2 linked regions of the Macaca mulatta genome follow. The protein of the gene in region 2 purifies or fractionates together with the protein of the main gene of each other region. This does not show direct contact. Links are inferred from orthologs where the notes say so. Each region holds a gene or a part of one and is shown on either strand. Other genes may lie near its edges.

Evidence for each region.
Region 1: the proteins of ABL2 (region 2) and RIN1 purify together in Homo sapiens (co-immunoprecipitation; 3 studies listed by BioGRID and IntAct, counting the BioPlex papers as one, with this or other methods). This does not show direct contact. The link is inferred for Macaca mulatta from reciprocal best matches to the Homo sapiens genes ABL2 and RIN1.

What each region holds. Positions count from the first base shown.
Region 1 is NC_133419.1:8,087,839-8,092,357, reverse strand, and holds the start of RIN1 (ras and Rab interactor 1), read right to left. Parts: upstream 3,025-4,519; 5' UTR 2,992-3,024; coding exon 2,906-2,991; exon of another isoform or gene 2,880-2,905; intron 2,748-2,879; coding exon 2,567-2,747; intron 2,465-2,566; coding exon 2,350-2,464; intron 2,271-2,349; coding exon 2,198-2,270; intron 2,087-2,197; coding exon 1,995-2,086; intron 1,840-1,994; coding exon 1,102-1,839; intron 810-1,101; coding exon 504-809; intron 244-503; coding exon 112-243; intron 1-111. Other genes in the region: BRMS1 (breast cancer metastasis-suppressor 1), read right to left, coding at 4,471-4,478. UniProt on the Homo sapiens protein: Ras effector protein, which may serve as an inhibitory modulator of neuronal plasticity in aversive memory formation. Can affect Ras signaling at different levels. First, by competing with RAF1 protein for binding to activated Ras.
Region 2 is NC_133406.1:36,517,960-36,520,951, forward strand, and holds part of ABL2 (tyrosine-protein kinase ABL2), read right to left. Parts: intron 1,177-2,992; coding exon 1,003-1,176; intron 132-1,002; coding exon 1-131. UniProt on the Homo sapiens protein: Non-receptor tyrosine-protein kinase that plays an ABL1-overlapping role in key processes linked to cell growth and survival such as cytoskeleton remodeling in response to extracellular stimuli, cell motility and adhesion and receptor endocytosis.

The sequences.
Region 1 (4,519 bases), on a different chromosome or scaffold from region 2:
ACACAGGGTGGAAGAACACGGCTCAGGCTGGGTGTGGGGCACCCATCCCTTCTCCCCTTCCCTGCTTATTCAGGGCCCACCCAGGCAGGGAAGTGGGTGGGGGTCCCTCACCCTCTCCGGTGAGCAGGCTGGGCTCCAGCAGCTCTGACATGTACTCGGCCTCCAGCAGCAGCTCAGGAAGGTCACAGTGGGCCAAGACGAGGCTCAGCAGAGGCAGGAACTCGTCAGCACCCGCGTCCTCCCCTGTGGGGACATGGTGAGAGGAAGAAGCTTCAGGTGCAGTCCTTGCTTTAGGCAGTGACCCCTCCCCATGGCCTAGCAACCATGGCAGGGCTTCGGAGACAACGCACTGCTCTCTGGGCCTCAGTTTCGCAATCTGCAAGATGGGAGGGTGGGCTCATTGTCTCCCGCAGGGCCATTCCAGGGTCCTGGGGACCTGCCACTGGGGGTCCCACCTCCAACTCAGAGGGGCAGGGCAGGGTGAGGTGGTGGCAGAGACATACCCTCCTGGGTCCTCAGGGCCATGTAGAGCAGCTTGCAGGCCTGCAGGAGCCGCTTCACCTGGGCGCTGGGTGAGTAGGTGCGGAGCAGCTGCAGCAACTTCTGGCGCACCTGCTCCATCTCTACTGGGGAGGGCAGGCTCAGGTGGGACCCAAAAGCTCCGGGACCCTGGGCCCGGGCCAGGCGGAGGCCCTCAGCTAGGCGGCCCAGGGAGCCGTCTGCGGCAAGCCGGCGCCGCACGCGGGCTGCCAGGATGGGCCGGAGAGGCTTGAGCACAGAGCGATGCAATGACTTCTCCAGGACATGTTCTGCCAGAGGAGGGGCAGGGAGGGGTCAGGGGAAGACTGGGGAGATGGGGGACAGAGGCCAGGGGAGAAGGGAGCAGGGGTAGAATCGGAGAGGAGAGGCAAGGAAAGCAGGAGGAGGTAGCCTGGGTGAGACAGAAGAGTTTGGGGAGAGAGAGGATGGAACTCTCTCGAACAGTGGTAAGACAGGGTGGGTTTGTAAAGCAGCAGAACAGAATCAGACAGGCTGGCGCTGTGGAGGGGAGCAGAGGGTCGGATGGGGCAGTGCTGGAGCTATGGAGAGACGGAGCCTCACCCAGCCTTTTAGGCGGCAGCAGCTTCTCAGGGCCCAGCTCCACGCTCAGCATGGCCCGGGCCCGGCTCAGTGCCTGACGGATGCCCTGCAGCTCCTGGGGCTCAGGCCCGGCCCGCACCTGGGTCAGTAGGTCCTGCACCAGCTGGCCTGCGGCTGTGTGTCGGTCCTGCATCAGTGCCGCCGCGGCCCGGCCCACCTGCCGCTCCGGCGCCAGTAGGGAGCAGAAGGCGGCACTCATGGACCGAAGCAGAGGCCGCCGGCGGCCCAGGTGGGGTGAGGTCGCTGGGCTCCCCCGGGACCCTGGCGCCCCCTCCTCCTCGGAGCTGCTGGGGGAGCCGCAGTCCACCTCCTGGAGGGAGGGCATAGGCGGAAGGCTAGGGTCACCGCCTGCTGGCACGCGGTACCCCACTGAACTCTCCCTCCGCAGCAACTGGCAAGGGGGCAGCCGCTCTGTCTGGCTGGGGACTGCCCCTGGCAACACAGGGACGGGGGGAGGCGGCACGGCAGGTGGAGACAGGGGGCTGGAAGTCTCTGTGGACACGCGCACTTTGAAGCTTCTCTTGAATTTCTCCCGCTTGGTGGGCCCCAGGTCCCCCGGGAACAGGGGGTTGAAGAAGCACAAGGCGGCTCCGGTGCCCTGGTCCAGCTCTTGAGGGGACCGGGCCTTCAGCTGGGGCAACACTGGGCCTCCAGCCGGGCCCCGCTGAGCCTTGATGTTGAGGGAGGAGCTCCAGAACTCTAGGGAACAAGAAACCAACTGGGGCCTCCAGGATTGGTTAGGGGAAGTTTCCCAAGCAAGGAAAGGCATGGGCTTCGGGCCGTGTGCTGCGAGCCTTCCCCTCCCCTCAGCCTCAGCTTTTTCATCTGTGCAATGGGTGGCAAGGAGCTCTTACCAATGCCCAGATGGGAGATGGCCTCCAGCTCTTTGTGGGTGGCTGCACGGTGGATGGCTCTGGGGAGCTGCAGCGGGAGGAGAAGGATGTCCCTGAGGCCAGAGAGGGGAGCAGAAGGGAGTGAGGGCCGAAGGGGGTGGGGAGGATGGGCTGTCCCAAGGAGCAGGGCCCGTGGACACAGGGCACCCTGCAGGCAGACTCACCGGGTGTGGCAGTAGGCACAGATGAGCTGGACTAGGTCTGGGAACATGAGCTCCGAGCCCTCCAAGGAGACGCCTGAGAGAGGAGGGAAGTGAGGTGCTTCTCTAGGGAACCTCCCTCCTTCCAGCCCCTTCCTGCCAGGCCAGCCCCTCACCGCCAGGGCTCTCCAGGATGTAGTGGCTGGAGACGAAGGAGGGGCCGCTGGCTTCGGGCAGTCGCATGCACAGGGCCTGGCACTGTCGGGTGTTAGATTTCCGCACGAGGAACGTCTGCAAGTGGATAGGGCTCAGGCAGCTCAGGACCTTGGCATCCCACCCTTCTCCCTCCCACCCCTGGCTGGCCAGTCCCTGGAGGTTGGGGGCAAGACTCACCCCCGGGGGCTCGGTCCTCAGCACGTGCAGTGCCGCGGCTGCGTTGGCTTGCAGCTGCAGCCACACAGGCCGGGTGAGCAGCAGGCGCTCCCGCAGGCTCACAACGCGTCCCGGCCGCTGTGGCCCGCCTGCCTGCCCGCCGCTGGCATTGGGCACGTCATACAGTGGGTCCTGGGCTGGCCTGAGGGCGGGCATCCAGATCTGAGCAGGGAGCCAGGGGCTGGGACCCTTGCTCTCCTCTTCCCCGCTCCCAGGTTTCCCACCTTCTCCGTCCCCAGATAGACCCTCTTCTCGCAGCCCCTCCCTGCCCCACCTGGCTGCCCTGCCAACTTCACTAACTTTTCTGTCTCCAGGTGCCCAGGAGTGAAGCTGGATGGGCTGGGGGCTCCCGGAGGGCCCGTGCCTGACTCTCCAGGGCTTTCCATGGCTGGGAGCTCCTTCGGCTTCAGGAAGAGAATCCAACCCCAAGGCAAGGCACGCACATCCCCAGTGAGTAACACTTCCTGAGGGCGGTCCGCCTGTCACACCCGCCTGTTAACTCTTGTGTGTCCACCCCGCCTGGCCAGTGCCTGCCTCCTCTGTTCTGGACCCTGCTTCGGGGGTCAGGGATCCCCTCCGTGCTAGCCCTGCTCTGAGGGCCCCAGCTGGGGGGTGCCACCTCCACACAGGGCCTCCTGCAGCCTCACCAGCTCCTCAAATTGCACAGGTGGGCGGGAAGTGGTTAAACGGCCGACTCAGTCCCCGCAGGCCCCAGCCACACTCTGGGGGCACCTCTGGGTCTGTGGTCAGTTGCTCATCTGCCCCTGGCCTCAGGTCAGCCTTGTGGGAGAGCACCCTCTACTGTCCATAGATGACTCATTCCTGAACATGGGTTTTAGGATTTTAGGTTGCCATGGAGAAAATATGCCACGTCTCCATGGAAACCAACCTATTTGCTTAACTGAGGTTCTGGGGGTGGTTCTGACACTCAGCACTAACCAGGGGGAGTCTGGCTGTGAGGTCGTTAGCACATGGTGCTGCTGCCGGCTGCCTCCTACGCATGCAGGCTCTGCCAGCCTGCCTTGCCAATCTGCCAGGCAACTGGGACAGGTGCAGACATGACCCAGGCTTCAAGCACACGCACCCATCCTCCCCACCCGAGGCACTCCGCTGGCACCATATGTTCTCTGCCCAGTGCCAGGCAGCCCAGCACCCACCTCCCCCTCCCCAGTGTGGCCCCACGCACAGTGCTCCAGCCTCTGCTGGGCAGTGCAAGGAGTGGCAATCTGCAGGCACCTCAGAAGTCAGCCTGGTTCAGGTGCTCCCCACAGAAGCCCTGATTCTCTTGCAAGGTAAATCACACATACACGGGGCACACCAGAATCCCAGGAAAGGTTTTAATTCTAGTCCTTGAAATCTGAGAGGCAGACACCAAGAACTGCCCTGAGAAAACCTGGGGGGCCTGGCATCTTGCCTCCAGCCCCAGCCAGGGTGGACAGCCCCCCTAGATATCACGTCTGACTCAGAGTTCCTGCACAGTGGGGCCTGGCTCCCTGGCCCTGAGGCCGGAGAGCCTGCATCCAAGGTCAGCAAGAGGATGTGGCTTTGACTTCAGCTGTCTTCTCTGTCAGGGGAGCCCCAAGAGGCAGATCTTCAGGAGCGGGAGGTGGCAGGCGGCTCAGGGATGGAGAGAGCAGCCTTGCCTGGCCAGGTCGGCTCCACAGCCACAGCTGTGCAGGCCTCGAGGAGGGCAGAGGAGGAGTCCAGGCCAGTGCCAGCGGAGTGGGAGGGCCCAGCAGCACCACAGGAGCCTGGCTGGGCAGACCCTGAGGGGCCTGTGGGTCTGCCTGTCTGCAGCAGGAAGATGAGAATCCTGGGTGCGGTGCCAGCTGCTCTGAGGGTCCCCCTGGCTCTGAACAGCAGGGTCACGGTCCTGTGCGTATGTGGGAAGGAGAAAACTGTCACCAGTGAGGA
Region 2 (2,992 bases):
GAAGCCCCCCTTCCTATCCCTGGTGAAGCATGTCTCTTTGGCATCTTCCAAGAGGCTGCTGGGTGACTTGTCTCTTTGCTTTCGAGGCAGTGCTGGGGATCCACTGGAGGCCTGTGCACCTCTGACGAACCCTGACGAGAAATGGCCGATCAGTAACTTAAAAGACAAGAAGTGAATCTATCACATTTGAATTACCGAGGCAGCATTATAAGAGTTTTGTCAGCATTTATCAAGTGTCAGGTGTTGGCAGGACTCAGAGATAAATAATAAATACATTATCATTTCACGGTGACTGGTGTTCCAAACGTGATATGAGTTTTAAAAATCAGGGGAGACAGGGGGCCGGGCACGGCGGCTCACGCCTGTAATCCTAGCACTTTGGGAGGCCAAGGCAGGAGGATCAGGAGGTCAAGAGATCAAGACCATCCTGGCTAACACGGTGAAACCCCATCTCTACTAAAAATACAAAAAATTAGCCGGGCGTGGTGGCGGGCGCTTGTAGTCCCAGCTACTCGGGAGTTTGAGGCAGGAGAATGGCGTGAACCCAGGAGGCGGAGCTTGCAATGAGCCAAGATCCGGCCACTGCACTCCAGCCTGGGCGACAGAGTGAGACTCCATCTCAAAATAAAAGAAAAAAAAAAGCCAGGGAGGAGATAACCCGCCGGTTATTACCTCAACACTCATCCTTTCTTTAAAAACCACCGCACAACCTCTTCTCCTCTATCAGGTTCAGCGAAGTTTTTGATGGAACTGTAAAGATGATACCTACTTGGGAACCCAGGGTTAAGGAGATGAAACTGGAGCCACAGTTGTATGTTGGATGGAAAGATCAGGACGACCAACACTGGCAATGCGGAGCCAAGGGCTTTGTGGGTGGGTAAAAGAGACGCCATGCTTCCCTCCAGGAAGACGGGCATGAAAGTGAACATAAAAGCCTCATACTCCATGCTTCTTTCAACAAAGCAGTTTCTATTTTGATTCTACCTGCCGAAAGACCCATACCTGGTGCTAAACTGGAAGCAGAATTTTCTGTGGCATCCTGTGCCCCTTCAATGTTCTCCTTGTTCTCCACCTGTTTCTTCAGTGTCCGAGTCTTGGAAGGAAGTATAGGTAGCCGGGGCAGGTACGGAACAACAGATGACGAGGAGGCGGCTCTCCCAAGCTCCTCAGCTACCTCTGTGAGGAAGATAAGGGGACCAATAAAAAGTACAATTTCATAACAGAAAAAGGGAGTTCTTTTCAGAAAAGGCACACAACTGAGAAAGAACTGGCAAGTAGAGTACTAAAATACATACACGGAATCATAAAGTATGTACTCTTTTGTCTGGCTTCCTTCGCCCAGTACCGTCTCTGTAGATTTGTCCATGCTGCTATATGTGGCAGGGGTTCTCATTGCTGTGTAACATGCCAATGTGTGAATATACCACAATCCGCCCGTTCTCCTCCTGATGGATGTTTAGGTTGTTTCCAGTTTGGAGTTACTATGAATACGTTGCTAGCATCATCCTGCTATGTGTCTTTTGGTTCACAATGTTATGCACGTCTGATCGGCACAATGTAGGAGAACTGGTGGATCACAGGGTATATGTGCATTCAGGTTTATTAGGCCCTGCCAACCTGTCCCCCAATGGCAATACTATTTCACATGAAAGCTGTGGTCACTCTGCATGCTTGCTAAAATTTGATGTTATTATTTTTGGCTTGATTTTTTTTTTTTTTTTTTGGGAGATGGAGTCTCACCCTGCTGCCCAGGCTGGAGTGCAATGGCGTGATCTCGGCTCATTGCAACTTCTGCCTCCCAGGTTCAAATGATTCTCCTGCCTCAGCCTCCTGAATAGCTGGGATTACAGAAGCAAGCCACCACACCCAGTTATTCTTTGTATTTTTAGTAGAGATGGGGTTTCACCATGTTGGCCAGGCTGGTCTTGAACTCCTGAACTTGTGATCTGCTTGCCTCAGCCTCCCAAAGTGCTGGGATTACAGGTGTGAGCCACAGTGCCCAGTCTTTTTTTTTGACAGGGAGTCTTGTTCTGTCGCCCCGGCTAGAGTGCAGCAGTGCGATCTCAGCTCACTGCAACCTCCATCTTCCGGGTTCAAGTGACTCTCCTGCCTCAGCCTCCCAAGTAGCTGGGATTACAGGCACCCACCATGCTTGGCTAGTTTTTGTTTTTGTATTTTTAGTACAGACAGGGTTTCACCATGTTGGCCAGGCTAGTCTCCAACTGCTGACCTCAAGTGATCCATCCACCTAGGCCTCCCAAAGTGCTGGGATTACAGGCGTGAAGCACTGTGCCAGGCCAGTCTGATTTTAATTTAAGCCTTTCTGGTAGGCCGTGGATTGGTATCTCATTGTGGTTTTATTTTGTATTTCTCTATGATGAGTAATGTTGAGCACGGTTATTGGACATCTGGATATCCTCGTTTACTAAGTTAACCTTTAACTCCTTTCCATGTCAATATATCCAAGAAGGCTGGGAGCTGTGGCTCACACCTGTAATCCCAGCACTTTGGGAGGCAGAGGAGGGTGGATCACTTAAGGTCAGGAGTTCGAGATCAGCCTAGCCGACATGGCAAAACCCCATCTCTACTGAAAATACAAAAATTAGCCAGGTGTGCTAGCAGGCGCCTGCCATCCCAGCTACTCGGGAGGCTGAAGCATGAGAATTGCTTGAACCTGAGAGACGAAGACTGCAGTGAGCCGACATCACACCACTGCACTCCAGCCTAGGCGATAGAGTGAGACTCTGTCTCAAAAAAAAAAATGTGTGCATATATACATACACACACACACACATATATATGAATATCTTTTTAAATATTCAGCTATATGGATGTAATAATTTACAGTCCAGTAGATATTTCAGTTGTTCATAATTTCTCACTATTATAAACTATACTTTGATGCAATGTCCTTGTAGTTAAATCTTTGTTTATATTCTTAATTATTTCCTTAAGATCTATTTCCAGAAATGGAATGTCTGGTTATTGTTTT